Arabidopsis thaliana: one gene and its partners. The protein of the gene in region 3 interacts with the protein of the main gene of each other region in a pairwise test. Each region holds a gene or a part of one and is shown on either strand. Other genes may lie near its edges. The genes, in order: MPK18, AT2G44710, AT5G44090 and WRKY7.

Region 1 (6,135 bases), on a different chromosome or scaffold from region 3:
TTGTGCACAAATTATCATTATTTATGGGTGATCCCTTTTTTCTTCTATCATTATATATGGTTCATGGAATTTTAATAAGATGTAACTCAAATAAATAAACAAACAAAATAAATCTGCTTGGTGGAGATATTTTGGCTCCTCCAGTCAAAACTCTAAAACATACATACACGAAAAGCATGATTCATGTGATGAATGGTAATATTGTGTCCACTCTGTTGAATTCTGACTCATGATTATATATATATATATATATATCTTCGAATTATTAAACTTGCAATTCAAAATATTATATATATCATTTTGAAAAACCATTAAAACTATTTTAAAAATAGATATGCTGGTTATATATATTATGCAGAGCCTGGTCTAAATAGATAGAACCAGTCAACCATCATTTATATTTATCTTTGGCCGATAATTATTTTAAAATGCGCACTTAGTCAAAAGAGAGTAAAATTATGATTTTAAAACCGAAAGTAGAAGAAAATGAAAAGCAATGAAATATGCAAAAAGGATCAACTTTAGTTATAAGTTATAACGCCTTAAAATATTGACAATAAATTGACACATGCACCACCTACATCGTCGTATAGTGTGAAATTATATGGAGTATGATAATTTGAAATTATGATATTTTGTACTTTAGATAATGAACCAACTTTGGATTTGAATGCCTCAGATACAAATGAATAATAAGATGTTGGATTTGTTTTAATCAAGATCAGTTATAATATTATCATAATCTTCACCTTTTTGTGGATTTGCCCCTATTGTGATAAACTTTTAATATGAGCCAGACACTAAATATGTTGGTCTTTTCAATAAATACAAAAGCCAAATTGTGTAAATTGACATGTGAATATTAGTTTCACACGAATTGCAAAATTATTAATCTATTTATTTTATTTTATTTTCTATCAAATACTAAGTCATATACCAATGAGGATGGCAGTTTTTTTTTTTCTTTTGATTTTGTTTTTATCATCCCATAGTATCAAGCAAACAACTTGACACTTGGAAGGTCTTTTTCTCAAGGTTAGTTGATTTACATGGAATAAATGTTCATCAAAGATGGTATTTTATCCTAATATATTAATCGTGTATCGTCTTTACCAAAATAAATTAAAATCTAAGACAAATATCCTTCAACAATATTTATTTACATATGAATTAGTCAATTGTATATAGATTTTTCAATCTTAAAAATTTAAATCAAGGAATATAATAAGCAAAATTGAGATAATGTTAATAATATTCCTTTCAGTGGTACGAGAAATACTATCACGTGGGGGTTAAATTGACCACTTATCAAAAAGAATGGTTAGAATCAAAACAAAATTAAGATAGGGGTCAAAATCGGAATTTAAGAAAAATAAAACGGTCCAAGTCCAGCAACAGGTGTCTAAACCATTGGGTCATTTTCCAAAAAGGTCGTCCACAGACCACAGTGGGAGAAAACCAATATTTACTTTACCCTCAAATGTTGTCTAAAACTACGAAACTGCCACTATCTGGGATTTGTCACACCCGTACGCAATAAGTACCACGAGAAATTGCTAGAATTAGAAATTATTTTTATTCAAATTTAGAAAAAATATCTCAAATTCGGTATTTTTAAAATCCTCTCTCGTCTTCTTCTTCTTCGATCGCTGGATCTAGGTTTTGCTCTTCTCTGTATCGTCTTCTTCACAGACTGGGCTTGATTTTGAGTTCTTCTAGTTTTCGGATTCTTAGCAATCTAGGTTTTTTTTTTTTTTTTACTTTTCGAAAAGCCGATCCAGATTTTTGATAATTTTGAAGAAGAAGATGCAACAAAATCAAGTGAAGAAGGTTCGCTTCTTGCTCTCTATCTCTCTCAATCATGCTTTGATTCTAAATGTGGGAAACAGAGGATAAAGTCTTATCCTTTTACAAATTTAAAGACAAAAAAAATAAAATCTTTCCTTTTTCAATTGCAATTAGGTTTGGTTTTGTTGCATGAGCATAAATAAGATGTGTGGATAAAGTTTGTGTTTTGTCTACTTTTGTGATTCACTAGGGCACGAAAGAGATGGAGTTTTTCACAGAGTATGGTGATGCAAACAGATATAGGATTCTGGAAGTTATTGGTAAAGGAAGCTATGGAGTTGTGTGTGCAGCTATTGATACACATACTGGAGAGAAAGTTGCTATTAAGAAGATTAATGATGTCTTTGAACATATTTCTGATGCGCTTCGTATTCTCCGTGAAGTGAAGCTTCTTCGGCTTTTACGGCATCCTGATATTGTGGAGATCAAAAGCATTATGCTGCCTCCTTCTAAGAGAGAGTTTAAAGATATCTATGTTGTGTTTGAGCTCATGGAATCAGATCTTCATCAAGTTATTAAAGCTAATGATGATTTGACTCGTGAACACCACCAGTTTTTCCTTTATCAGATGCTTCGTGCTTTAAAGTTCATGCATACAGGTGTGATTCGTTTCATTGTTTCAGACCTGTGAATCTTGGCAGCATGTTTTGTATTTTTTCTGGTTGTAACTTACTGTTATCCTTTTGTTCATGCAGCTAATGTTTATCACCGTGATCTTAAGCCAAAGAATATACTTGCAAACGCAAATTGCAAGTTGAAAGTTTGTGACTTTGGATTGGCTAGAGTAGCGTTTAATGATACTCCTACGACAGTCTTTTGGACGGTTAGTAGCCTCGAGGAGGAGACCTTTTGTTTGTTAGCCGTTAATTTGTGTGTTTGATTTTTCTCTCTGACTCATTTAATCGCAATGCAGGACTATGTTGCCACAAGATGGTATAGAGCACCTGAGCTCTGTGGATCATTCTTTTCGAAGGTAGGTGTTACTGTGGATTTCTTCTATGCATTCTAATTGGCTATGCTTAGGTCTTATGAACAGATTAGTCTTCTTTAGTGTAGAATATATGCAGATTAGTGTTAATAGCTGATATTTGATGTTACTTGTATAAGTATAGAGTTGTGCCCCAGTGGGATATTAAAATAATTCTTGTTCAGGGATGACTTGAACTCTCCCCGAAGTTGAAAATCTATGAATCAGGTAACCTTGTATCAGGTTATGTTCATTGAGTGGTTTCTTTTGCATCTGCAACTTCATATTCATGGATTTTGTTTTTTCATCATAATCTGATTTACAGTCAAAATTATTCTGCAGTACACTCCAGCTATCGACGTTTGGAGCATTGGCTGCATCTTTGCAGAGGTACTAACAGGGAAGCCATTGTTTCCGGGAAAAAGTGTTGTCCATCAGTTGGAGTTGATTACTGATCTTCTTGGCACACCAAAATCAGAAACAATTTCTGGAGTATGATCCGTTTTTCTTCTTCACATTAATTTCTGGAGTACGTATATATATTGAACTGTATAGCTAAACATTTATTTCTCTGATGCAGGTTCGTAATGATAAAGCTAGAAAATACTTGACTGAAATGAGGAAGAAAAATCCTGTCACCTTCTCGCAAAAATTTTCCAAAGCAGATCCATTAGCACTCCGTCTTTTGCAGAGGCTGTTGGCTTTCGATCCAAAGGATCGACCGACTCCTGCAGAGGTCTCTTTTCTGTCTTTTTCACTTTGTAATTAGATTCTTCTTCGGTCCTCTTTGTAAAGCTGCCTTGCGTCTTGTGTGTATCTCTCTGCTTACTTTGCTATCTTTTTGTTTTTCGATAGGCATTAGCTGATCCTTACTTCAAGGGTCTTTCTAAGATTGAAAGAGAACCTTCAAGTCAGCAAATCTCGAAAATGGAGTTTGAATTTGAGAGGCGAAGGTTGACAAAGGACGACATTAGAGAACTAATATACAGAGAAATACTGGAGTACCATCCTCAGTTGCTCAAGGACTATATGAGCGGATCTGAGGGGTCTAATTTTGTATATCCTAGGTTTGAATTTCTTCCTACCTTTTATTATTATTTACCAAATGAAACATTTCTTGTTTCTTTCTCCCGTTGAATTTATGTCCAATCGCGTACCTCTGCCTGGCTTTTTATTCATGTTTTTACTTTTTCACTTGCAGCGCCATTGGACATCTTAGACAGCAGTTCACTTACTTAGAGGAAAATAGCAGTAGAAATGGGCCGGTCATACCTCTCGAGAGGAAACACGCATCACTACCGCGGTATGTTTTCTCATTCTTTATATACAAGTCGACTGTAGGGAATATGCTTATTCTTTTGTTCTTTCTTCTGCTACTGCTTAGCATTTGTGAAGCATATGGTCGAAGGCCTCAAGCAAACTTTCATATGTTCTCTACTCTTCTAATTCTAAAAACTTTCATATGTTCTCTACTCTTCTAATTCTAATAGATATGATTGTTTTCCACAGGTCTACGGTTCACTCAACTGTAGTCCATTCCACCTCGCAACCCAACTTGGGTGCAACAGATAGTAGACGTGTTTCTTTCGAGCCTTCAAAAAATGGAGCTTCTTCTGCAGGACATCCATCAACTTCCGCGTATCCTACTAAATCCATCGGACCTCCACCAAGAGTTCCACCATCAGGTCTCAATCATATCTCCAAATATTATTTCCTAAAGTTAGAAACTTCAACTAACTTTCACCCTATGTTTTACAGGTAGACCAGGTCGTGTTGTGGAATCATCTGTATCTTATGAGAATGGCAGGAACCTCAAAGAAGCTTATTTCAGAAGCGCGGTTTCATCTCCTCATTGCTACTTCCGACCAAACACCATGACAAACCCGGAGAACCGCAACATAGAAGCTTCGTCTTTTCCACCAAAGCCACAAAATCCTGTCCACCAATTCAGTCCCACTGAGCCACCAGCTGCTACAACTAACCAAGCAGACGTTGAGACTATGAACCACCCAAACCCTTACTTTCAACCACAGCTCCCGAAGACAGATCAATTAAACAACAACACACATATGGCCATTGATGCTAAGCTGTTGCAGGCACAATCACAGTTTGGTCCAGCAGGAGCTGCAGCGGTTGCAGTAGCAGCACACCGGAACATAGGCACAATTAGTTACAGCGCAGCATCATAGACAACACTTCAGACAGATCTTTAACCACCACATCTTCCTCCACCAGGTGATTCTCTAGTTTTTATGTAAGTATTATTCAGTCCAGGCTCTGATATGAACTACGTTGCAATGATATAAGAAAGACTTTTATTTAGTTGTAACTCTCCAGAACAAGATCGCCTTGGATTAGTCTGATTGCGGGTCAGTCCCGGTTATTGTTTCGGTTATCTTGTTGGCTCCATAATCTTTGAATTTGCCATAAGCGTAGTTCACCGTAGAGAAGAATATCGTGGTGATTATATACTTCTTAAACTTCTTAATCGGTCCCATTAGTCTTTATTGTTCTTCAACAAAAAAAGGAATCTCTTTGGTTATTGGAAAATATGGTCTTGATTGGTTAATATAGACAACATTATGCCGAAGAATGTGGAAGTAACAAAATAAAACATTGGTCCTTAGATTTTTCTTCTGTAAACCACTCTTTCTCAGATTATATAATTAGTCAATTTTATTCAATGGTTACAAAAAGAAAAAAAAAAACTTGCCAATGAAAAAAAGGAATGCTCTTGACCTCAAGACTCATCATGGTTAACAATGAAATTCGCCTTAACTTCGAAATTTTGACGCCGTTGAAATGTTTATAATTTACCCGCCAAGTTTGTAGGCCTGAGTTTAGCCCATTAAAGGTAATATTAGGCGTCCATTAATCATAACGAATATCACTTTCTCAATTTAACAAGTCATGAGAAAGTGTACACATTTGATCTATTTAATATTTATTAACCAAAAAGGAAGCAAATCAATTATTTCGTTACGTGACGGTGGCATTAAGCATCTTGCATTGAATGATCCGTTATATATAATCTCAGGTTTTTTTTGGGTTGAAATGATGATATTAAATTTTAGGTTGACATGTACTTATCTTTGTAATCAACTAATTAAATATTTGAACTGACATGTCTACGTTATATCATAAATAAACCAGGTGTTTTAATTAAATACCACGATTAACCTTCTAAAATAAGGAAAATCATATTTTATTCGTCAATCACTATAATTTGGAAAACGATGCAATATATTTATTTCTTTCTTTATACACATACTTAATTAATTATCAAAATTTCATTCTATTTTAATTGATCTGAAATGTCC
Region 2 (6,601 bases), on a different chromosome or scaffold from region 3:
ACGAGGGAGAGAGATGATGATGAAGACGGAGGAGGATGATAATGATCCAATGGTGGAGATAGCTAGTGCGATAAAGCTGCTTGGAGATACGTTGGTGAGAACAGAGCAGACGAGAATGGAGATGACGAGAGAGATAGAAGCGATGAGGATGGATACAGAGATGAAGAGGACAAAGATGATTTTGGAATCTCAACAACGAATTGTGGAAGCGTTTGCTAAAAGCTTATCAGATTATACTACTACGGAGGAGCAAGACAAGAAGAAGAAAGCTAGATAGAAGAATGTCGTCGTCTTTAGCTGACTCCTGATCAAAAGGCGCCATAAATTAAATTAATGTGTGATTTTCAAATTTTCTAGATTGTAGAAATCGAAAGAGCTTTTATTAGCTTATGCATCTGTCTAACACCAGTAATGTATCCCTGCTTGATTATGTATGTTATAAAGTGTATAAAAATTGGGAGTTCCTCAGTTTCCGACAGTGAGAGGTTGTTAATGTCTCTTCCACAAGTCTCAAGGATAATGTCTCTGTTTTACCACAGTGAGAGTAAAACAGAGCAAGCATCAGATCTAAACAGAAGTAATGCAAATCTTAAGCTGAGAAGACGGTGAAAGCTTAACTAAACTGATGGATCAATAATACAAACACAGCTTAATCTCTGTTCCAACAAATCCATCCATTATTCAAGAGATAGAGATAGATAAGATAGATAACGAGTCCCACAACTATGAACCATCTCTATAAAACTCGAGCTTATCATTCCATCCGAAAAAAGATACAAGTGCAGTTGTAGATGCAAGCCCATTAATATTCCAACAGTCTCACCGAAGCTGGCTTTAATCCTTTCGCAGCTGGTAGCTTCCTTTCTACATACACAACTTTGCATGGCCAAACCTCCTTTTTTAGCAGCCTCGGTCATGTGAAATTCTGTGTTCCATTAACAAACTTAAGCACACATTTGATCTATAGTTCCTGCTTAGAGCTTGAAAGAGGAGATACCGTTTTCTTTCCAACCAACAATATATCCCACAAACAAAACCAAAAAATAATGCACAAAGACACAACTAAAGATGGAAGGAACCAAACACACTCACATTCAGTAGTATGATCCTGGACCACCACCAGAGTAACTACTACCACCCAAGCCACGGCTGGAGTAAATTGAAGAATACGAGCTACCTCCTCCCTGTAAATCCAATACTAAAATGTTACACAACTTGACTTTCCAAAATAAATATAAAAAAGGGGAAAGTGTGAAGCCACTTACATCTCTTCTGGGTAAGTCGCCACCATAGCTTGACGAGTACATACCTCCTACATCGCTGCCACTATAAGAACCTGAAGAAAGCAACATTATGAAATTATAGCCATTGAAGGCAGTAAGTGTATCTCGACGAAGTATTGCTCTCTGTTAAGCCAAGTTCTGAATCAAACCTCCTCCATAATCCATTCCCTGACGACTGCTGTATGGGCCCCGCGAGTCATGATTTGACATAGAATTTCGGCTGCTTCCATATCCTAGACTAGACCTAGGAATCCTAGACCAAACATGGAAGTAAGAAAATAATACACTTGGCACAGAAAATTGCTACCAAAAATAACTGAAGCTATCCATAAAAAGAGAACATACCGGTCCCCGTAGGATTCCCCATATTGAGATGGGCCAACATCATAGTCCAGACGGGGTCTTGAATGACGAACATCAACATCAGCATAACGGGGAGGAAGGTCATCCTGAATAATGAACACTCGTTAGAGTAAACAATCATAGTCTAAAGAAACAAAATTAAGAAGACAAACTGGTCGGAGAAAACAATAAGTCAGACCAGTGCAGCATATGGACGCTTTGATCCAGGAAGAGGTTCATAAGCACGAGGTCTTCCCTCACTGTAACTTGGAGGTCTTTCAAATCTCGGACTGTAAAGGTCATCTACGAATGGCCTCCTAATTTCAGAGCGAGAAGAACTTCTAGGAAGATCTGAATAACCCGAACCCCGGGGTGGATAATCATCTCTGTAAGACAGATGCCTCTCAGGAGAAAGCCTGGAACTATAGCTTACAGCTGGTCTGCTTCTTGGAGGAGGAAGTTCATCACGCCGATCATAGTCTCTCTTCAAGCTAGCCTTTGGATACAGAGGAACTGCAAAACACAATATGGAAGATATGATCAGAATCATTAGATACATGAACACAAAAGAGATTCAACTAAAAAAGATAACTAAACATGTAATAATTCCAGTGGTACCTGGAGGTCTTCTATCATATGACCTAGCAGGTGGTGGCAAGGGCCTGGCTCTTGCAGGTGGTGGCATGGGCCTGGCTCTTGCAGGTGGAGGCAAGGGCCTAGCTCTTGCAGGCGGAGGTAGAGGTGGGCGAGGACGTCTTCCTCTTGATCCAGAAGCTCTCTTTGCACTAGAAGATGGGGCCCGAGATCCAGCGCCTCTAGCACTCCGAGAGGAAGCAAGGCTACGAGGTGGAAGACGAGCAAATGAACTCCTTCCAGACCGTCCAGCCCCATGCCTAGACCGCTGGTCTGAGCGACTAGATTGTCGGCCTTTACCTGCTTTCTGAAGTGGTCTAGACAGGCGTGCTCTCACTTTTGCCTGGAAAAAAAAAGAGAATTAGAAAGCAAGAAAATACTTCGTGGATAAGGATAATGCATTTAAATTATGCATACCTTGTCCTCCCCTTCGCCTAGCTCTGAGTTGTTGATGAATTTGGCACAACTCACAGCAGCTTCATGAGTATCAAAAGTTACAAAGCCAAAATCTTTCCTCCTTGCTGATGGCATATTGCGAGCAAGCTCAACTTTTTCAAGTTTACCATATGGTTTCAGAAGGTCTCTAACACGTTCTTCATTCCATGAAGGTAACAGACCGTCAATGAAGATTGTCTTAACCTGTAACACCAGAAATATCATAAAACTAATTACTATGAGCAAGATAGATAAGTTAGATATAATAGATTCACCAACAATCAATAATTCAGTATCTAGCATGTTGTTAGAGGGCCAAAAGGAATATGTATTCTGACTCTGTTTTCATGATGGGTTTAGCAAGTATTCTAAGTCACCATACAGAATAGGTGGCACCCACACATGCCCCTATAAACTCCTCCAACGCTCTAAAGAAGACATGGTAGGATGAAAGTTGCTAGAAATAATTGATCCTGCAATGTGAGTACCTGCGCCATTATCTCATCTTCCAGGTCTAAGAAAGAATCAGTAAAAGAGACCTTTGCAGGCTTCTCAACTCCAAACATCACATCTTTCTTGACGAGACGCTTGTGAGCATCCATGGCATCTGAGCGAGATGAGAATTCCAAAAAGGCATACCCTCGATTCATGTTGACATTGTTGCTGTCCTCTACCAACGTTATATCATCCATATTCTCAACTCCATAGTGTTTAAGCTTCTCCCTCAACTGGAACAACAACAAATACCTGATTGTCAGGATCACCACGAACTGTGGAGTTGGGTTTAATTGACATATCTACGGACACCCAAATACTTACAGCTTCTGGGGTCCATATCTTGCATATGTTACCAACGAAGAGGGTATCATTATCTTGGCTTGCAGTTACACCACACTTTTTACCATTTATCTGCAGTCCCAATGACCAAGAGCATGATACAAAATGTAAAGCTACACAAACTCTCCATCAAATACTAAAGTGTAGACAATTACCATTGGGCTTTTAAGCTCTTTAACAGCTCGTTTTGCCTGTTCCACAGTTGCAAAACGCAAGAAAGCAGAACCCTTGCTCTTCTTTGTCTGAGGATTCTTCAAAATCCTAACTTCAGTCACCTCGCCCACATGACCAAACACTTTCTTTAAGTCCTCCTCCGAAGCACCTTTGTCCAAACTCCCAACAAATATTTCGAACTCCTTACGCTTACGCCTCTCATGGAGAACATCATGATGCTCTTCTTCTTCCACATCAACAGTTTCTCCATGCTTGACCTCTTCAATAGCATGATCATCATCATCATCCTCACTATCAAGGTCCTCCGCACCATCTCCAATCTCGTCTGCAAACTCACCAGCTTCCTCCTCGACCTCAATCTCTTCCTCCAGTTCTTCCCCCTCCTCATTTACCAACTCATGGTCCTCCTGTCCCAATTCCCTCTCTTCAAACTCCTCCCCGCCATATTCCTCAGCCTCATACTCAGGTTCATTGTCATCTAAATCCAATCTTTCATCTTTTCCAAAATCATCCACAGATTCCTCTACCTCAGTCTCCTCTGCGAGTAAAAGCGAGTAAAACATCTACACTATTCCAGGTAGCCTAAAGTTTGTTCAGAGATAACAATCTCAGAAGATACGTCTATCTTCCACAGAATTAAAAACAGCTAAACATCCATCCTCCAAATTAGATTCATACATTCAATGGTCAGACATTCATTTAATCTCTATGGTCAGATATGTTGGAACTCTAAGTCACAAACTTTCGTCAAAGCGAAACTTAGATCCATCAAAACAACGAAAACGTAGAGAATCCCAAAAACGAAACAAAATTAATAACCAGGCTAAAAGAATCTTACTTTTCGACGGAACATCAACATGCGGATTCGCTGCAGCTTCAGAATCATCAATTGAATCCGATGACTTCGGCACATCTAATGGATTCTCTTCCTCAACAGTTTTATCAACCTCCGGAGTCACCTCCTTGGCTTCCAGTGCATCGGAGCCTGAGAGCTCACCGATATTAACAGATTCGTCATGGGAAGATTCCACGTGAGGATTCTGCGCCTTGAGCGCCGATCTCGTAAGCCTCCCACCTCTTCTCGCGGCGCCTCCCCTCTTCACAACCTTCGGTGGCATCGCTTTCCAATGTATCTTAACCAATCAAAACAAATTAACCAAATTCGATGAACAGAGATCAGAGCTAAGCGACACAATTATCGGGATCGAACAACCCTAGCTCAGCGGATCAACAATGGTATTGAAATCGAGATAGAGAAGAAAACCCTAATTAACGGAGAGATGATAGCCTGAGCTTGGTCTAAAAATAAAAGATAAATAAAATCAATATATTCTATTAAGAAAAAGACGTGGCGATCAAGCTTTTAATTCGGTAATTGTTAACAAACGAAAAACGGTAAGAAGGATTGGCCCAAATATCCTCATCCCCAATGGGCCTTTACTCGTATGGAGTTTCAAGTGTGTTGGTTGACTAATTGTATTACCGATGTTCAGTCCGGTTTTCATTCATTTTCGGTTATCTTTTTTTGGTTTCGTCTTGGTTTATAATTTATATTTGCATTATTCGGTTTAAGAATACAGTTTTCGATGGAATCGGTTTAATGGGCAAGAGAAACACAACACAACAACTCCGATGTAAAATACACTTAACTGAGTGAGTTTACAATAACACAAACTTGATTAGGTGGAACAGAGGAAGATGCTGAAACTGCAACATTAATTGAATAAATCGAGAGTTGAAGACGTAAACGCCGCAACACATTCATAATCTTGTAACACATTGTATTGATATAGACTAACGAAAGTATTAAACATCATCATCTTTAGTCACATGAATTCCTACTTCACTCCTATCCAAAACAATCATTTTACACCAAAGAAAGTAGTACTAGACATGTTTTAACCTGAAAGAGACAGACAATGACACATTCTATAACCGTTAGGGACAATCTCGACAAGTTGAGACGGTTCTGCAGCTCCATGAATTCCTACTTCACTCCTAAGCAAACCAATCATTCTACACCAAATCTCTTTGCTTTCACTAACATTAAGACTTGGTTTTTCCCATATAAACGCCAACTTTCCGTAGTATTCCCCGATTCCAACTGATCGAGCGTTGTCAAGATCAAAACCATAAACCACTCTCCACAGCATCAGTTTAGAGTCATACCACATTAACCCGAATCTAGAGAAGTAAACAAAGAGCACATTGTCAATCACGCACAATCCTACTCTAGACCATTGATCATTAGGCATCTCAGATCTCTGACAAGAACCATCTCTAGTGTCATAACAAGTCATGCCTTCACGAGATCTTAAAGCACAAACCTTCCTGTCAAATGAAACATTTGCTTTACAAATCCACCTGTGACTTTCTTTTTCATCGGGAATCGGCGCTGCTTCCCAAGTTTGCGTATTTAGATCAAAGCTTTCCGCTGCAATCTCGTCGTCCTGATAGCCTCCGATCACATAGACCTTACCGCCGACTAGTCCTACGCAATTGTACCCTCGCTTCACTAGCAAACAAGGTCCTTGACGCAACTCCCCAAATCGGGTGTCAAAGATCGAAAGTCTTGATGAAGGAGTACAAGATTCTGAAATGAAGAAGATCTTTGGACCAACGGCGTTCATGGAAAATCGATTAGGCTCGGAAGGATAAGGGAACTCAATGGATTCGAAGAGATTCTCGGTCGTACTGTTCTCGATTCTCCGGAGAGTGTACCAGTAGTCGTATACGGGGCGATAATTTTCGTCGATGAAGCCGATATAGAGATAATCTTTTCCGAGTAAAGATCGAGCCTTGTGAATTTCAGGCGAGCGAACAAGACTCCGCATGTTCTTGGAGACGGAGCAGAGGATTGGGTAATATCGTTTTGGGACGCGGGCTAAGATCATCGA
Region 3 (7,860 bases):
CGCCATAGAAAGTGAGTTCATGCTTGTTAAAACAAAATGCACGACTTTTTAACACATCTTCCAAAATATCATATTGACAAACAAAGTTTTAATGATTCTTATACAAACAAATAACCAATGTCGGCTCAAACCAATCAAAAACTGATATATAGTATATAATTTGATTTGATATTCTATAGTTTATACGAGAATTGTAGTTGATATCATAGGCACAAATTTGCTAATGAGGAAAAAGCAAAAACAATGATCATGTAAAACAAGTTTCAAGGTTTGTAAATTTCTTCCCACAAAAAAAAGTGTCTTTGTACATAGTTCTTTCGATTTTAAATAAAACCGTTGTTGTTGGTTCCACAAAACACTATAAAGCGGCGTATATAATAATATACATAAGATTGAAAGAGGGTCCAACCTGAGAAACCTAAGCAAGACAAATATTTCATGAAACTAACACAAGCTTACGCATCGGATAAGTCTCTTGGTCGCCAATCTCTAGGTGGAACCGTGGAATGGACTGGCTTTCGTGGTTGTCTGTCTGAAAATTGTTTCCGAGGCTCTTACCACCCAAGAAGATCTGACTTCTCCCTCTTCTTCCCAAGAAACTAGTAAAAAAAGCAACGAAAACGGCTTTTAATACGTTTAATATACCAAAAGATACAAACTTGTAACATTGAGCACATCAATTTTGCTATTTCATACATGCATAAGGAACATGATGCTGACCAGTGTTGAACAAAGTACCTCTTACGAGTCACTAAAATGGAGATTCGAGTGGTTCATCCCAAACATCTGCACTCCCATTCGAGACTTCCTCCACATCTTCCTCCATTGACAACCTCACATACTCTCTCTGAGCAAATCGGTCCCATTCCGTCAATGTTGGATTCTCACGTTCCTGTCAAATGGAAAACAAAGTTGGTTTAGAAGTAGCAGAGACTGGAACAGATACAACCGGCTGCAGTAGTAGGTGACTATCTGAACTTATAATAATTTTTGCGAATTTTTATGGCATTAATAAATATTCAGTAGTAACAGTTTCAACAGCTAAACGAAGGATTGAATAACCAAAGGGAGGAAAACTCTATAGAAAACCTATGTTTACCTGACGAATGAGAAAAGGGTCACGGGTTTCAAACGCCATGAATTTGTTCAGGTTAAAGAGTATATTGAAAATATTTCCAGAAAGTTTGGATGCTTTCAGATCCTGGAGTGTGATGCAGTTCTCCTTCTGAAAGAGTCATTCGACAAATTGATGATGCGAATAAGAGCAAAGGAACAGACAAGCCAGGAATATCAAAAGACCATGTTATGGTTTAAAAGAAATTTTGCCTCTGGTTTAATCATGTCGAATATTTGACATAGGATATCTTCAAAGAGTACAGGTTCCTGGGTTATACATTCCATGCGATGCAGCTGCTCTTCGTAGAAAAACTGCATCTCGTTGGGAGTGATCACCCCATCTCCATCTAGGTCTATGCACTTGAACCTGCAAAGATGGTTTTAATCAATATCAAGGGAAAACGAAAAACAAAAAACTGCCAAGAACCTGTGTTTAACATCGATGGGAGATAGATGAGCATACCAGCGAGGTATGCCCTCATATCAGCGGTTCAACTGAAAATGTTCTAGATTCATGAGATGATGAATGAAAATGTTCTAGGTTCATGAGATGATGAATGAAAATGTCTTAGATTCAAGATGGGTATCCTATGTTCATGAAATAATAGTACTACTAAATGTTTAGTGCGTTCAAAATATCAGGTAGGCTTGTATCATCAAGAAGGCCACATATGCCACAAGTTTTGGCTCAGAAGTTATACATTTATAGTGACATACTGTGAGCTAAGCAGCTAAAGGACAAAATGGCTAAAGAGAAGTCACTAAAGACAAAAAGAGAAGAGGGGAAGAGACATGTACCAATACTCAAGACTAGGCTCAGATGACTTATCCTCCTCAGCGAGAATAAAGTATGCAAAATCTTCATAACTCATCTTCCCCTCAACTTTGCTTGTAAATTTCCTAGGAACCTGAGTGAGAGACAGCCGTAATTTCAATTAAGAAAGAAGGAAACACACTCCATAAGATAACAATTAAGTTTCGAGAAAAGTGTTCATTAACATTTTGACAACTGGAGCCAACCTGTGAAAATATTCTGTCGACAATCCTGTAGGTAAGGGCATGATTACCATATTTGATGAGATTTTCCTTATCAATAAGGAAATCATGGTCGCCATCGAGTTCCCAAAATCTGCAGTATATCACGTAGAAATGCTCATAGGAGAAGTACCTGAAAAGTAAAGAAAAGGTCATATTGAATGGTCAAATCATGCATGATGTCTTGCCACAGTATCACAATATGAACTACCAATACACTTCTTCCTCTTTATGAGTTTTATGGGTAGTGCTTATGTCTAAGAAACAATTCGAAGACCTATGCACTACCCATATTACTCACAATGCTACACACCTTGCTGAGCTTGAATTCTTAAACAACTTAAAGTGGTCTTTATTATACAAATAAAACTAAAATCTTAATCTTTTTAACGTATTGTTTAAGAAATAATGAAAAGGAAAACAAAGTCACCTAATAACTTTATTGATGTCGTCTTCTTCATCAACTTGTTGCATGGCAGTAATAAGATTCCCACGCTTCAGCTCTCTAAGAGTAATGCAACCAGTACCTGATCTGTTTATGTAGTAAAATATTCTGTAGATGACGGTCTCAGCTGGGTTGACGGAATAGAACACAGAGATGAATGAAACAAGCACGGGAAAAATTATGAATTAGTCAATAGATGTATAAAACAGTAAGCACCTGAAAATATACTATATTTAAGAAGCATCTCATAATTTTCAAAATGTAATTATAATGAACAAGTACATAGAATTAAAATTAGAAGAATTATTGCCTAGGCCAATCAAGCCAGCTAAAGATGTCACTTTCAAGTTCGTCAATGCGTTTTGAAAGATCATATATATATGGAAAGAAATTGTACGAACGTCTTAGTAGAAAACAGACATTCTGGTAGAACTATTTCACACCATAACATCAATGTATCAAAAACCAAGTTCTTACCATATCTTTCTTGAAACTCAGGTGTATTCCTCAGGAATTCCAAGCCGGGATGAGTTGTCAGAAGCTCATCAAGAACTGGTTTGAAGTCAGCCTATCCCAAATCCAAAAGAAGACATTAGCCTTCAGGACTAAAGAAATCAAGTGAGACAATAATCATTGGTAAACAAATCAAAACAGCAGTGAAGAGCTGGGAAAAGAAAACAAAGAGACCTGTCTAAGGTACTTGCAACCTGGCTGCCTTAAAATATTATATATCTGTGAGGCTACGTCCATTGCCAACATATGTCCATCAACCCAATACTTGATAAATGCATCCCTGCAGGAACCAAATATGGTGTATTTAAAAGATACTAGCTAAACAGAAAGATTACAGCTGCTGTATATTTCTATGATATTACTCATGATTTGGCTAATTTAAAGATGTATCAATTCCAAACAATATCTACAGGGTAGAAACTTCAATATTACTTATCACAAATGTTCTAAACAATATATAAAATCGAGCACACTAAATTTATTGAAAGTAAAAAGAAATTATATTCGAGTGGCATAAATAAATAAAAAGATAACAATCAGGTATTAAAATTACTATGCCACATTCCATTTCTTTTAAGGGTGAGCAATTTATGAAACAAATAGCTGAGCGTGCATCTGGAAATCCAGACCAATGTGATCTATTATTATATTACATGAAACACATATGAATACCAGTGGATATATACATTTAACTACAATTACATATGAAAAGAAAGAACACAATGATTTACCTTGTAACGATACCGGTGCCACTCGTGTCTATCTTTCTAAATAGTACAGAGGAAAGAAAAGAAGGCAGCTTGCAGACTTCTTTAGTAATGGATTTGAATTCTGCAATTGAACAATAGCAAGAATGTGTTTGTAAGATCAACTGTTTGTCTATTCATTACAGAACGGGACTGTGATGTAAAAAAGCTTGTATTTAAACATCACCATCCATATGAAGTCCGTCTATATAGTTACTAAAAAATTGATCAACCATGGATATACATTGCTCCCTTAGTTCCTTCGCAGGTGGACGTCCATGTTGGAAGTAAAACTGCATAGCATATCAAGGCATAGAAGCGTCAAACAAGAATGTTGAACAATATTAGCTAAACCCTTCAACTATGTAAGATGTCAAACGGATGACCATAATAAACTTACTTGTTGTCATCGTTTTGTTAAAAAAAAAATTGTACCTATGCTACTTGAACGAAGAATTTAGTTTCTATTGTATTTGTTCTCGTGGTTCTCCATCTACTTAGAAAACTATTACAGTCTAGTTTCAACAATTACGTGAGCATATATAAAACAATCAAATCATGATGTCAACTGTCAAGCAAGGTAGTGCCTTCTCATGTTGTTTGTAAGACATCCATATGAGGAGCAGTTGGATAAAAAATCGAACCTGTGGAATGAGTTGGCGCTTTGGTTCCCTGACTGATTTCAGAGGAGACTGTAGAGAAGGGCTTGTCTTTTGCCTCGAGAAACGGGGAGACCCAGGTGAGCCTCGTGGGGATAGTGGGGGAGTGCCGCTGTTCAGAAAAACAGATGGCAATGCACTCCCGCAAGCAACATTGAGACTAGTACAATTTTTGGATACACTGACTGGGGTACTAGATTTAGTATCATCAATTAAAGACTTGACCTGCACAAACATCACACAGATGAACTGTTAAAAGAGGACCACGTAAAACCTTAAACGAAAAACAACCACCAAAAGTTTCTTCACCAACATGAGTCGGCAATCGGCATACAACACTGGACCATATTCTCAGGAGCTTTAAGTTAAATCTGGTACTACACAAATACAAACACTTCTCAAGTTTAGCAGAGCCTTGTAATATCCCAGTACTATTATCACCTAAGTCATTATAACCCCTAAATGTGCTATTCAAGCACTCTTTATCTAACACTAAGTAAAATCTATAAGAAATAAACAAAACTACTAAATATGCAACAGCCGAGGATTCAGTAAGAGCAATAAGCATGTTGAATCTTGCTCTGCAGAAATTGACTTGAAATCAGATAAAGTCACAACAAGGACTTACGAACAGGTATCAGCATATACATAAAACAGGCGCCAACTATTAAATGAACAAGAAACCAAACGACGCTAAGGAGCCACTGAGCCAGAGGCTTGGGAATAAAATTACCAATCGGCCAGTTTCAGGAAGTGAAAGCCACTGGGAGAAGAGTTCTTCAGCAATATGAGGATTTTCTTTAAGTGATACAGGAGACAAACCGGGAAGCTGCAAGAGCTCAGGATCCAAAATCTGAACATCGTTTCCACCATCGATTTCCATGATTATCTTCTATCTTATTCACTGAGAATCAGAACTACAACAAAACCCCAATATCGGAATTCCTTGAGTCAATTCTAAAATTGGATCGAAACCCTAATTTCTTCCAATAACTTGAAGCAGTAACTCCAAAACAGGATTCTCAGACTTTTCAAAGATCTATAAGCACGAAATCCAAAGAAAATTCAATAAAAGCAGCTCTGACCAATCGAGAAACTCTCTAACTAGTTGAGAAACACCAGCTCGAAGAAGAGAAACTAAACGAAAACCAAAATAAACGATTCGATAAACCCTAGATTCCCAAATTCTATCAACAAGCAAAACAGAGTCCTATACAAAACTTCTTCTGCAATTCAAGCACAAACGTGGAAGAAATTGGAAGATCCAAAGAACACTGATCTCTCTCTCCGATCAATAACAAGCTCGACGACGAGAGGAAGTCGTAGAGAATTTTTCCAGGGAGATTGTGTTATTGATGAGAAAATGAATTAAAAAGGAAAAAGTATTTAATTTTGATTTTAATACTCTCTCTCAGTCTCAGACGCAGTAGTACTAGCGGTGGTGGTGGTATTTTTGTTTTCCACTTTTAGTCCTCAACGTTGACCAAAAAGTCAACCAAATCCAGCGTTCTTTATCCGTTTTTGCGATCATGTTTATTTGAGTCTCGAGTCAATTAATAAATCGCAGAAATTAGCGATCAAATTGTTTGTTTGGTTGTTAAACTTCATGACGTTTCGACTGTTATCATCAAGATTGCAACTGATTCATTAAAGTCATAAAAATGTGACTTCACATGTGTAAACCTAGTTTTGAAGAATGATGATGAATATTTGTCATTTCTCAAAAATTGTATTGGAGCACTTGCTTTTTTAGTCGAAATGCAAAAGTATGTAGGAGTAGATCATATGAATCTAAAAATGAATGTATTTTATATGTGTAACTTCAATATGAAATTCAGTTTTGCCACTTTATTCGAAGATGAGCGCTAACAAAATGTGAAGAGTTTAACTATAACCATTCAAGTATACGATCAGTGAATAAGTAAACATTTGAAGTATGGAAAAAATAAAAATAAAGAGTTTTAGATTGGAGTCATCTAAAGTATGATTTGACTAAGTAGATGAGCTAATTTTACTATTAAGCCAAAATTTCACCGTTTTTACATGATTTGACCAGAGTATGCCTGCCCCAAAAAAACAGAAGCATTAAAAGAGACCAAAGAGCAGTTGATTGTTTTGTTTATTACAGTACCAGTACAGATAGGTTCGAAGTAATCGAATATACGGATAGAAATTTTACCGTTTTTACATGGAAACTCTCTCTACATTTTTGATTGTTATGTTTGTCTAACACATATCACGATTACATAAACAAAACGAGTGAAAAAGATCTCTGCAAGCTGAAGCTGAAATTACATGTAAAAAGATCTGAGGATTTCATCAGGTTCAAATATATGAATTCCCTCAAACCAAGATTCTCATCTTTCTTCAGAGGTAATTTCTTTGGGTTTTCATGGAGTTTGCTGTCTCTCTCTCCATCATTTTCCTTTATTTCCGAAGAGAGAGAAGCTCGAAGCTTCTTAATTGATCTTCCCGAGTGTTTCTTGCCGCTGTTGCACGAGAGAAAGACAGAGTCTTGGATTCATATCCAGCTTGCACTCTCTGGCTAGTTGAGGGACGGCCATTTCCACTGCCGCTGCCACCACCACCGCTTGAGGAAACCAGACGACTTGAAGTTCGGCTTTCGCTTGGTCCACCTGCAGAACTTGGCCGGGAGCTTGAAGCAGCAACGGCTTTCCTAGAAGAAGATGCTCTATATCTTGAGGAACTGTTTGCTCTTTCGGAGTCTCCATGCTGCACAAATAAAACAAACACAGTTAGGTCTTTGTCTTATTTAGCGGTTCTGATCAACAATGTATGTAAAGAGTAAGATTTTTACTGTCTGCTTAGAGAAAGGTCCGTCGTCTGAGTTTCTTGATCTAGAACGATCTCGAGGCGAAGAAGTTGTAGTCGGGTGTCTTCTGGAGAATGCCTCCACTGCACCTGGGATTTTATATCGGGTTGTTTCCTTTCCTACACGAATGGTAAATAAAAAAAGAGTAGAAATTAGAGTGAGGAATGGATGTGTATGGTTTTGAGATTTTTAATAGAAGTAGGAAAAGCAGAATTTTACCTAGGATCCTCTCTTGTCTTTCAATAGGATCTGCGTTGAATCCGGGTTTCGCTGTTGTATGATGCTGGAAAATCCAAAGATTTACATTTACGTAAGTACAGAGAAACTCAAAAACCATGAGGGTAAAAACACAAGTATAAGATTTTTAATAATCACCCTTGTTCGTGAACTAGAACCAGAGCTGGATCCGATTTGAGGATACTTTAAGACTGTCCAGTCAAATACATAATCGAATTGATAACCTGTAAGAGTTTCAACAATATGAAAAAGATAAGATGAGAGTGGCTTGAAACA
Region 4 (4,378 bases), on a different chromosome or scaffold from region 3:
ATCACTTTAATCCTACCTCTTTTACATATAATACAATTAAACAAATTTTAACTAATTAGATAACATACTCTAAAATATGATTGGTCTAAAAAATTTTAAAACATCTTTTTAAAAAAAGTCTCTAAAACATCACTTAAAAGTGATATTGAAGAGTTATAACGCAATGATGCATGAATAGCTGATTTTCTTGGTAACAAAATTTTGTAGTAAAGCTTTAAATTTTTTACTAAATGTTGAAGTACTTTACACTTGAATTTATAGCCGTTAACATAATCATAAACATTGTCAACTTTGTTGGAAAAAACACACTTAAAAGGATAACGACATTGCATCTGAGGTTTTTCACTAATGCTGAAATAAATACTTATTAGAGCTACTTATTATTTGATCGACAACTTTTCTAGTTTCTATAAACGTGTGTTAAGTTGATTTGACTATGTAATCTACAAATAGTTCTTTTTTTTTTTGTTTAACGAAATTTGAATTGCAATTTTTTCCAATTACCAGCATAGCATTATGGTCAGTTGAATCTAAATTAACTGATAATTTCCCTAAAAACTCAAATAGTTCTGCAAGTAAGAAAAGAATCAGAGATTTGACAAAAATAGTGCACTAAATATATATTATCCTAGAAATAAATAAACAGAAAAGGACATTCACATGATTCAACTTCCATCAAGATCCACAACGTTCCTCTCTCGTCTTTATCTCCCCTCCCTCTATTTCCTCCAATCAAAAAGAAAGATAAAGCAAAAGCTTTTCAAAAAGAAAAGAATAAAAAAGTGCAGTGCGGGCCCACTCTGTCGTTGACTAATCTGGATAGTGGTCACACACAGACAGTTCCCCTCAAACTCGAGAAACTAAAGAGTTTTGTCATGATTCATCGTCGTCGTCTCGAGAACCAAAGCATGGTTGTGGTCTCCTTCGTACGTCACGATTAGCATCATCGCATCATCTAGTGCACGCTCCACATGCTTACGCGCCGGACAACCTCTTACACTGCTGCACTTGTAATATCCCCTGTCATAACCATTACACCGAGTCCTCCCCAGTTAGTTCGAGTTCTTATTAATTAATGAGAAAAGAAATAGTCAACTTAACTCTCGGCTTTCTATTTCAAATTTATTCTATAGGAAACAACAAGTCAAAAAGAGCGTGAAACTGAACCCACTACTGTACTACTAGACAACATGTTTGGTACAACCGATATAGAAAAAAACAATATTGACAATCTCTCTGGTACTAATATTGACAATACACAAGTTGCTTAATTTTCTAGCCAATATTTGATTTTTGGTGTTGAATCTAGTGAGTGATTGTGATGTATGTGTAGAGTATATATATCGATGGTAAAAAATGTAAAAAATAATTACCGAGGATGAGGAGAGCCTTTGATTGGTTTTTGACCATATTTTCTCCATGAAAACTCATCTGATGGTATATCAGCCATTTTGCTACTTACTGCTGGAACTCTAATCACTCTTTTTACTCTTGATTTCCTGATTTTTTTACACAAATTATAATTAACGTTTTATTAATCAAATCTCAAGATTTAGATCTAAAATAAGATTAATTTTTAATAATAGAAGTTGAATCAAAACCTTTTCTTGGAGCAATGGCAACGGCTTGAGGGAGATGAATTACATCTTCTCTTCAACGAAGCTGATGATAAAGGAGGTTTACCTCTCGAACCAGAGAGCTGAGATGGGTTAGTGAACTCGAATCCTGATGACATGTGAGTACTATCGGTGTCACATCTATGAGAAGACATGAATGAGTTCGTCGCTGAGACTGGTGGTGACGGCGCAAAGTTTATCGTTGACGGTGCTCCGTTTGCGAGCATCGGAGGAGATGAAGAAGACGAACCGTTCTTTGTTTGATTCTGATTGTTGTTGTTATTGTGTGATAGAGGAGGACGACGATGAATTGGTGTTGGACAATAAACTCTAAACGCAGATCCACCACCGTGATATTGCTCTGTTTTCTGTTTTGTTAACACGGAGCTTGTTTCTGGCTTCTTCTCCTCCACCTCCACCTCCTCCTCAACCACCGGCGTTTGCTTAAACGGCGTTTGCGTTGACGCGGGAGCTCGTCTGAATCTAGCGTGTCCGGTTCTAGATCTACCGAGTAGAGAAATGACCTTCTTGAAGCTGTTAACGGCGACGTCAGTCACCGCGGTTATCTCCGTCTGACTCTTCTCCGTTGGTTGTTGACTTTGACCGATCAGTTTAAGAAACTCCTCCACACCGTGAATCCCTGCAGAAGCAGCTTCTCTCAAAGCGGTATCTTCCATTTTCGCCGCCGCGGCGATTGCAGGAAAACCATCACCTCCTCCTCCGCCGCCGCTGTAGCTGCTCATCATCAGCTCAACAGTCATCTCATCAAATCAGAGACCAACCACTCAGATTCTTATTAAAGGTCAAAGGAGATGTAAATAAATACAAAGATTCAACAGTTTTCTTGTAAGTTGTGTTTTTGGTTAAAGAAGAAGATGATGATGATGATGAGGGGAAGAATAAATGAAGAGAGTGAAAAAGGGGGAGAGTCAACGATATGCGTTTCTCTCTCTATATCTTTAGGTATGTGTTGATAGTGCATCAGTCAAATCGACCACCACTCATAGGCTTACACGTGTGATCATTTGTCAAGCGTTTTGACACTCCTCAGCGTCAATGATTTTAAATTTGGAGCAAGTGGAGCTCGAATTATATATATATTCGTTATTATTATTCGAGAAAAATCTAAGATATTTTATATTTTTGAGGCTGATTAGATGCTAAAAATATAAAAATTAAATTTTTAATTAAAGAAAGATCTAAAAGGAGGAAGGTCTCTCTCTTCTCTCTATAGTATTTTTCAGAGAAAGATTTTTCCGATGTAAGTTTAGAATCGCCGTCCGGGTTTCTTCCGGTTTCCGTTATCTGGATTTTTTCCGGCTATTATCTCCCGTTGATCGGGATTTAGATTTCTTTTTGGGCAATTTTGAATTCGGTTTCTTCGGATTTGTTTTTGTTTTGTAGCTTTAAAATCTTGATGATGAAACATTATGACAGGCAGAATCTTCAGTTCCGAAGAGGTGTTCTCTTCGCATGATTTAGTTTCTTTCTGCTTTGATTGGCTTCACCGTTGGGTTCTGTTTTTTTTGGCTCCAACAGTTTTCCGGCGATGTGTGCGTTCTCGACAATTAGGTTCGTTTGGATCTACTGTGTTTAAGACAGTTTCAATTTCTCCACGACTAAGGTTAGGTCAAAGCTCGTTTCCTATGCAATTAAGATATGCCTTTGTTGTTCTTGCAAGAGATTTAATTGTTAGACAAGTTTGAACTACTCAGTTTTCTCTAATTTCTTTTACCCATTTTTGCCGAATCCTTTGTGATTCTTGCAATCGGATGAGATTAGGAGATTGATGTTTGTTCTGTAACTTTTAATTGGTGATAAAAAAGAAGTCTCGTTGACCGGTGATTTTCCAACGACGTTTCTGATTCACCAGGCTTGAGTCTCATGTGCAGTGGAGGTTAGGCCTGGGCACGAAGCGAATATCCGGAAAATTTGGGATATTTGTTATTCGATTCGTTTTAATCGAATACTTAATTTTATTATTTGCTTTGATCCGAAAATTTCCAAATATCCGAAAATACGAATATCCGGATTTTTGTATGATATTTGTCGGATATCCGCTTTGCTTTGCTACATCCAAATATTTTTTTATATAAATTATTTAACATAGATTTCAAATTTCTTACCTTATGACTTACGAGTGTGAGATTGAGAGCAACTGAAAATTTTCTGGTTATAAATTCTGTAACCAAATTGAGTGATAAAAATAGTGAAAGGTCGAAGAAAGGAAACAGAAATGTCGCTCTTATATTTGATGGATTGGAAAGTAAAACGACAATTTTAGGATAAAATATAAAAAATAAAACAATTTTATTTTAAAAAATTCCACTTCTCTAATAAAAACTGTGTCACAAAAAAAACACAGGCCCAAAGGATACAAATACAAGCCCAAATCCCAACATATACAAATGCACAACCTATATTGTGATATATATATATATATATATATATAGATCGAAGCGAATATCCGACTTTAGAAAAAATAGTATTTGTTATTTGCTTCGGTTTTTACGATTACTACATTTTTCTATTTGCTTTGCTCCAAAATCTTACGAATATTCGGATTTTTCGAATCAAATCAAATCGAATATTGAGTTAAAGCGGATCGAACGAATATTTTGTCCAGGACTAGTGAAGGTTGTGGACGTTCCACGTGTCCCTAGCTTATTATTATTGGTCTGACACGTCTATAGCTTATCTCTTCTTTTGTGTCGTATGAGCCTTTATATGTGGGATGTCTTGGGCTTTATTTTGGTTTTCTC

The links.
Region 1: the proteins of AT5G44090 (region 3) and MPK18 interact in a two-hybrid assay, tested with the Arabidopsis thaliana proteins (one large-scale study listed by BioGRID).
Region 2: the proteins of AT5G44090 (region 3) and AT2G44710 interact in a two-hybrid assay, tested with the Arabidopsis thaliana proteins (one large-scale study listed by BioGRID).
Region 4: the proteins of AT5G44090 (region 3) and WRKY7 interact in a two-hybrid assay, tested with the Arabidopsis thaliana proteins (one large-scale study listed by BioGRID).

Annotation. Positions count from the first base shown.
Region 1 is NC_003070.9:19,969,830-19,975,964, reverse strand, and holds MPK18 (mitogen-activated protein kinase 18), read left to right. Parts: upstream 1-1,571; 5' UTR 1,572-1,806; coding exon 1,807-1,830; intron 1,831-2,038; coding exon 2,039-2,447; intron 2,448-2,543; coding exon 2,544-2,671; intron 2,672-2,761; coding exon 2,762-2,821; intron 2,822-3,157; coding exon 3,158-3,307; intron 3,308-3,395; coding exon 3,396-3,551; intron 3,552-3,670; coding exon 3,671-3,882; intron 3,883-4,016; coding exon 4,017-4,118; intron 4,119-4,324; coding exon 4,325-4,500; intron 4,501-4,573; coding exon 4,574-5,004; 3' UTR 5,005-5,631; downstream 5,632-6,135. UniProt on the Arabidopsis thaliana protein: Mitogen-activated protein kinase (MAPK) that is specifically regulated by PHS1 and MAPKKK20 and mediates signaling that regulates cortical microtubule functions, maybe through regulation of microtubule dynamic instability.
Region 2 is NC_003071.7:18,431,123-18,437,723, reverse strand, and holds AT2G44710 (RNA-binding (RRM/RBD/RNP motifs) family protein), read right to left. Parts: upstream 5,039-6,601; 5' UTR 4,823-5,038; coding exon 4,543-4,822; intron 4,492-4,542; exon of another isoform or gene 4,268-4,491; coding exon of another isoform or gene 4,243-4,267; coding exon 3,686-4,242; intron 3,603-3,685; coding exon 3,513-3,602; intron 3,422-3,512; coding exon 3,182-3,421; intron 2,898-3,181; coding exon 2,676-2,897; intron 2,602-2,675; coding exon 2,244-2,601; intron 2,139-2,243; coding exon 1,825-2,138; intron 1,733-1,824; coding exon 1,629-1,732; intron 1,537-1,628; coding exon 1,433-1,536; intron 1,337-1,432; coding exon 1,266-1,336; intron 1,185-1,265; coding exon 1,095-1,184; 3' UTR 1,093-1,094; exon of another isoform or gene 926-1,092; 3' UTR 503-925; downstream 1-502. Other genes in the region: AT2G44730 (Alcohol dehydrogenase transcription factor Myb/SANT-like family protein), read left to right, coding at 1-277; AT2G44700 (Galactose oxidase/kelch repeat superfamily protein), read right to left, coding at 5,603-6,601.
Region 3 is NC_003076.8:17,742,513-17,750,372, forward strand, and holds AT5G44090 (Calcium-binding EF-hand family protein), read right to left. Parts: upstream 6,014-7,860; 5' UTR 5,398-6,013; coding exon of another isoform or gene 5,248-5,397; 5' UTR 5,083-5,247; coding exon 4,828-5,082; intron 4,740-4,827; coding exon 4,500-4,739; intron 4,149-4,499; coding exon 4,043-4,148; intron 3,941-4,042; coding exon 3,841-3,940; intron 3,390-3,840; coding exon 3,284-3,389; intron 3,165-3,283; coding exon 3,074-3,164; intron 2,724-3,073; coding exon 2,582-2,723; intron 2,285-2,581; coding exon 2,137-2,284; intron 2,025-2,136; coding exon 1,915-2,024; intron 1,484-1,914; coding exon 1,327-1,483; intron 1,226-1,326; coding exon 1,100-1,225; intron 893-1,099; coding exon 752-892; 3' UTR 739-751; intron 600-738; 3' UTR 254-599; downstream 1-253. Other genes in the region: ckl7 (casein kinase I-like 7), read right to left, coding at 6,942-7,247, 7,333-7,466, 7,567-7,630, 7,723-7,808.
Region 4 is NC_003075.7:12,569,929-12,574,306, reverse strand, and holds WRKY7 (WRKY DNA-binding protein 7), read right to left. Parts: upstream 2,770-4,378; 5' UTR 2,378-2,769; coding exon 1,602-2,377; intron 1,500-1,601; coding exon 1,374-1,499; coding exon of another isoform or gene 1,370-1,373; exon of another isoform or gene 1,021-1,369; coding exon 861-1,020; 3' UTR 534-860; downstream 1-533. UniProt on the Arabidopsis thaliana protein: Transcription factor. Interacts specifically with the W box (5'-(T)TGAC[CT]-3'), a frequently occurring elicitor-responsive cis-acting element.